Drosophila melanogaster: one gene and its partner. The protein of the gene in region 1 interacts with the protein of each later gene in a pairwise test. Each region holds a gene or a part of one and is shown in the gene's direction. Other genes may lie near its edges.

Region 1 (3,217 bases):
CCGCTTAAAGCGCACGGGGTTGTTTCAGCATTTAACGGAAAAAGTTTTGCCATTCAGTTTGGCACCACCCACGCTTTGCCACCCACCCACGGAGAACGACTCTTTAACATGGTGAAAATTAAAAGTTAAATGCGCAAAGTCAATAAAAGCCGGTCATGGCGACGGCGATGGCGGTGGCGATGGCGATGGCGATACTAACAAATGGAAGTAAGAACGAGGCAGTTGGGAAATCCTTTAATGCCATAGCATTTGCATGGCAATATAGACTTTGGCGCAGTGGAGCTGGGAATGGATGGGTGATCCATCGAGGACAATAGCTCGCCTCTTTGTCTTTTGTGCGGCACTTGCGACTGTTTGCCCAGAGATAAAAACTCGGTTTGGGGCTTGGGCAACTAATAGAATGCACTTGCAGTAGTCAGGACGCCCAGGATTCTCAGGATTCCGGGGCAAGGTCCTTCGGAGTGGTTTGCGTTTTGTCTTTGCCGGCTGAGTGGCTGCGTTTGCTTTGCTAATTGATGCACTAGGCGCCTGTGTGTTTTTCAATTACCAGGCACCAAAAAAGGACCTACGACTCAGCGAGGCAAATCCGAGCAGATGGATTCCTTCCCACGGATCGGATAGACAGCTGATTAAACCATCAATTCTCGAGAACAAAAGCGTGACCGGAATAATGGCACAATTCGTTCGATCCAACACCCAAGCCACATTTTCCCCACTTTTCGCCCTCTTTAACTGCACTTGGTTGGGCGGAAAACAAAAATCAATTGCGCAAAATATGCAAAGCGTTTTTAATTAAAATTTGAAGATCTTGGTCGGACTAAGCTCGGCAAATTATAGAAAGCGAACGCATTGGGCCGTGGATTATGGCCAGAGGCCGAAAATGGGCAAAAAGTTGGGGCAGGGAACGGGAAACATTCCACAGTTGTTCAGATTTTTTAATTGCAATTGCAGCGCTCATTAAAGCGATAAATTTTCAATGCAAATGAAATTTGCATTTTAATATCCCCAGCCAAGTGGGAAAGTGCAGGGTCGTGGCAAGGAGAAGGGGTAAAAGGGGGCCCGCAATAAAACGAAATTAGTTTCCATTTACGCACATTGAATTATCACTTTCCCTTCTGTATCACAGAATTAACAAGGAGGGCGGGTGGAGGAGGAAGAGATTGCAGCCTGTGCTCGGTGTGGCTGGAGCAAACATTGGCCACTTGCTTTTAGCACTAATTAGTCAATTTATGTCCAATTTGCTAATTTGTGGATGCTTCGGTCTAAAACTGTGAGTGTAACCCGGCAACGGTTCTCGGACATCGACATATGTATCCTGCTGGTCCGCCCGGGCATACAGTGCGTATGATTAATGTTTAATTGCATTAGCCTGAGTGCCATCCTCGCCTACACGGCTCGCAAATGTGATTAAACTGAAAGTGGTTAAGCTGGATTGCTTTGATTCATTTAAATTCAACTTGAAACTAGGCCAGTTTTCAAATATATTGTATACTATTCTTTATTATATTAATTGCACTAAGGAGTAAACTATTGTCTGAGTTGATTGCATAAAGTATGCACTAGTTTAACTCTATTTTCACAGCTCGAATTTATTCAAGTGCACTTTCGAGTGCGCATTTCAGACCTTGCAATTTTCCCCGACCAATGCAAATTAAATTAACATTTATTTATTGGTCCTGCATTTGAAGGACCCATGCAAACTCATAAATCGCATCCGCTGCTGGTCGAACTGATGAATTAGCCGCAAGCCCAATGGAATCGAATCAGAAGGCGACAACTCCATTAGCTATAAAAACCACCCAAACCACGTTCTATGGTGATAAATAGTCGACTGGACAAACACTTTGTGTTTGCCAACACAAGCACAAACGCAGACAAGAGCGACGACGGCAGTATTGAAATCGAATCAACAGCAGCTGGTCTGTGACGCTGGGGAAAAACAGATATTCATTCATCTATCCATCTAGCGTTTGGAACAGCTCAAGTCTCTTTGTCCGGCTCCGGTTTTACCAAATTACACCTGACGTTTATTTGATCGGCGACGACGTCACCGAAAACCATCTGGTAACGAAGTCGGTGGAACTGGCGAGGTGAGAGTATAAAAGGCTTGTGGAACTGGTGAATAGGTATCAAACACCAGTTCCACGGACAGATATAAGATGCGTTCCTTCATCATCATCGCCCTCTTCGCACTGATTGCCGTGGCTGCCGCTCAAGGTGGACCCCAGGGCGGACCTCAGGGTGGACCTCAGGGTGGACCTCAAGGTGGACCACAGGGCGGACCCCAGGGTGGACCTCAAGGTGGACCCCAGGGTGGTCCTCAGGGAGGACCCCAGGGTGGACCGCAGGGAGGACCCCAGGGTGGTCCTGGTGGACCCGGTGGACCCGGGGGACCGTGGGGACTGCCTCCAAATGCCACTCTTCCCAGCAACAGCACTACCACCACCACCACTTCAACGACCACCGAATCCAGCACCAGCACAACCACGGAAGCCAGCACCGAGTCATCCCCTGCTTAAGGCGCAGGACTCCAGCCAATCTAAAATCCATTTTTGGCTTGTTCTCTTCCGCGCTTTCCTCGATATTAATAAAAGTCTTTTCTGCAAAAAGTAAATCTTTCTCACATTTTCTCAGCACCATTTCGCACAAGATACTTGCATTACGTCTACAGAGAGAAATCGTTTGATTCAAGGGGAAAAAGCAGTATTAAATTAATAGTGCGATCAAATTGAGTCTAAAGTGTTTTGTGTTGAACACCCTTTTTGCTGTAACAGCACATAAATTAAGTATTTGTGGGATCGAAAATTTTACTAGTGTAATAAAGCATTCAGATAAAGTGGGATTTCCTGTCAGTGCAGCCCCGTGATGGATGGCAGACCAAGGCGATGGTGGAAGGGCAGAGGGAGGAATGCAAGCCACGGGATTCGGAAATCGAAATGTAACTTGTTCGCCGAGGCCGCCTGGTGGCTGACAGCCGGCGGCCATGAGAGATTCGCTCGGCTGCTGTGACACTTGGAATAGGCACGTCCTTCGAAAGGGACGCGGCAGCAACAAGAGCCCACAAATCCTAGGATGCGCTGCATCAGTTCTTTAAGCCGCATCCTGGTGGATGAAGCCAGCCCGTTTTAAATGGACCATGCAGTCGCCCTCTCAAGTTGGGTGCAATTATGTGACATGGCGCACACACTTCGTGGGCATAAAAAACCAGCTAAACACT
Region 2 (3,322 bases), on another chromosome or scaffold:
AGCAGCAGGAGGCACAAGCGGCATGCAGCAGCAGCGGCAGCAGCAGCAGCATGCTAATTTATGAAGTAGCAACTTGCAGCGACATGGATGCAGTAATTATAGCTTGGCAACTTGTTGCCAGCCTGGCCCAACTGCATGAATGGAAGAAAGCCAGCCCAGTTTGCTGTTTTCCATGCTAAACAGAAGCTGTTCTACTGCAGCAGCAGTGGCGGCGTCAGGTGAACGCGGACGTGGATGGGGATGTGGCTGTTTGTGGTGGATGTTGTACGTAAACGCGCCCACTCGGTTACTCCGATCGGCTGCAAAAAGCGCTCCAAACAGCTAAGACAAAAGTAGGAGTCCAGCCATGGAGTGCCGAAGTTCTTACTACTCTCTATCGACATAGTTCGAAGCCCATAATCTGCCAAATTGAAAATTCAGAAGATTAAACAATCAAAGAAATATATATTGCAACCATATTTGTGTATTTCGGTTATATTGTACACGCTTCTCATAAAAAGGCATATACCTCGGTTTCAGGGTATCAAAATAACTGGCTTAAAAAAAGCTAAAAAAAAAAGGTCCTACCCCGTGGCGTTTTGGCTTTTGATGGGTTGGCTCTGCTGACTGCTCGGCAGCGGCAACATGCGGCATGCAGCAACAGCATCAGCAACGGCAACATGGGGCAGCAGCAACATAGTTTACACACCTACCGATGCCGCAGTCGAAATGAAGTCGGAGAAGAAGTCGGGGGCTGGGCTCCGTCTGCCGAACCCTCTGGCCAGCAACATGCACTTAACTGGTAGCCACAATGCACTTTATAATACCCGGGAACATGGCTCTCATCTGTGGCGCGGAGTGGGTATCTGCCCCTCCTCGCAGTTTGATAGATGCGGCTGACTCGGACTCCCGGAGCGATCTACCAGGGGGCGTTGCTGCTGTGCTGCAGTGCAACATTGGAGGACAGAGTCGCAGTTGAAGCAGCCGAGTAGGAGAGTAGCATAGCAGCAGAAGCTGCACCGTTAGCTGGCTTGGCTTGTGAGCTTGGGCCTCATTTGCATCGGGCCATAAACTCGGTGGCCCAGTTCTCGACGGGCGAACCCGTATCCGAATCTGCATCCGACTGCGAGTGCGAATCCGATTGCGAGCCCAATTGAGACGAACTTTGAGCCGGCGCTAGGCAATGGCCTTGGATTAGTTAAATCCGTTCCGTTGCGACCCGCCTAATCCTTCCTTCCTGCAGGGCACCTCATTAGCCACACCACCACCCACCCAGGTAGGGGTAAGGTCAAGGGTTTCCGGGCTAAGGGCTCGGAAGGTGTTTTCGCCGTGTACCAAAATATAATTAGCGAGCCGGGCAAATCTCTTTTTAATGCCGTCCAGTCAGCGGGGGTGTTCCGATTGAAATTGGAGCGTAGCCGAAGGAAGTGTGAAAAGTCGATGCAGAATTTCCGAAAACTGAGCCCAGGACGCTGAAGCTGAGGTAGACGAGGCCGGGAATTAAAAGCGCAGCCGCCTCTCATCATCATCAGCATCATCCTTAGCAACGTCCGCAAAACACTCACGCACACAGGGAATTAAGTTGAGTTCTGGGTTCTGGATACTGGATTCTGGATTCTGGGCACCGAGGTTCCAGTTCTGAGCTCTAAGTTCCCAGTTTCAAGACATGAAAGATGCCGACCGATGCCGAGGATTTTCGATGTGGCGCCGGCCAGTGAGTATAAATCATATCACTCACACACAAAAGGCGTGGGAAGGGGTAAGCTGGTATACAGTCCCGCGACCGCAGTCTTTGTTAATTAATTGCCCAGCTCCAGAATAGACACCTTTTCAGGCTTCGAATTTTTTGAGCCCCGAAGTCACAGCAAACTTTGCATTTTTCGGAGGCGGAACCAAATTCAACAACATATTTGATAGATTTCAGAAAACCTACGATTCATAGGTTTCAAGGGGCCTTGCAGATCCATGTGGCTTCTCTTGCTCCTGCTGGGTCTGCCGATGGAAACAAACGAAGGAGAGGAGTGCAGAAATGGACTAACTCTCGGACGCCAGCAGTGCTACCTCCACGAGGAGATCTTTCTAGCCCACCACCCTTTGCAAAGTGTCACAGCCAAGAGGCTCAAGCTTCCCTGGTGGTGCGCCCTCCTAGAAAGCCTCTTCCTGCTCCTGCTGGTGAAGCTGCTCCAGTTGTAGATGAGCCAACATCTCTCTCTCTTTCTCTCTCTCTCCGTAATTGCCGCTGATGTAAGCGGACAGGTGGAGGCGACAAATGTCACACATGCTGCTCGTAAATCACATCGGAAACGGTTTTGCTCTTGCTGCACATGATAATTTGGCCAGGGTGGCTTGCTGGAGGTCTGGCCTATGTGCTTCTAATTAAATTGTTCAAAATGTTTTAAAGCGCGCTTTTGGGTCTGGCGCTGGAAAATCGCTGACAAATGCTTCCATCAAAACACAGAAAAAGTTTTCATTTTGTTTTGTCAATGTCCAGGCCACATAGCACTCAACGGTGGACGGGCACAGTGGGCTGCGATCTATGGAAATGGGAGCATATGGAAATATGGCATCACATGGTTTTGTGACAAATTATAAATATATATTTTACAAGAGGTGACTGTAGAGTAAATAAATACTAAATCAAATGATATTTTAGATATGATTTAATCCGTATCAATGATGAGTAGCCAACACTTTTCCCGTTCGAATAAAACGGAAACAAAACTACGGCTACGAGACAATTTAAAACGAATTAAAAGCGCAACCGTTTGAAACCTCCCGAACCCAAACAAACCGAACCGAAGGCATCCAATTGAAAATAGCAACAAGTTAATTTGGACAGCCCCTCCCCCGCCTACCTTCGCTCCTTTTGGTAAGTCATTAGAAAAAATGTCGAGTCGCGCAATTTGAATATTTCGATGGGCAATGTATGCGACTCCGACTCCGTCGGTTAATTTAAGGTGATAATTGCTTTTTAATGTGACACAACTAAATTTTTCCCATTTACATACTGCTCGTTGTTGTTGTCGTTGTGGTTGTACTGCTTGTTGTACCGGAAGTTTTTTGGGCCTGCGCATGTGCAGCCAAGAGGTCAAAGGGTAGGAGGAGGGGGCTGAAGGTGCGGGGCCAGACACTTGTTACGTCGCTGGGATAACAACGATGGCAACAACAACAGCAACGACAACTGCCGACGCCAGTACAATAATAAAGTGTCAACAATTATTTTCAAATTTCCAAACATTTCATTTCATTTTGGTTCGGTGCTAAGCTATTTGATGTTTTTTGGGGTTTTTGGTTGGTGCTTTGTGGCTGTTCCTTTCGAGTGACGCTGCTTAAAAGGTTTTCA

The links.
Region 2: the proteins of CG13947 (region 1) and CG42851 interact in a two-hybrid assay, tested with the Drosophila melanogaster proteins (one large-scale study listed by BioGRID).

The regions. Positions count from the first base shown.
Region 1 is NT_033779.5:777,045-780,261, forward strand, and holds CG13947 (uncharacterized protein), read left to right. Parts: upstream 1-2,128; 5' UTR 2,129-2,159; coding exon 2,160-2,519; 3' UTR 2,520-2,611; downstream 2,612-3,217.
Region 2 is NT_033778.4:24,807,485-24,810,806, forward strand, and holds CG42851 (uncharacterized protein), read left to right. Parts: upstream 1-1,840; 5' UTR 1,841-1,977; coding exon 1,978-2,172; 3' UTR 2,173-2,623; downstream 2,624-3,322.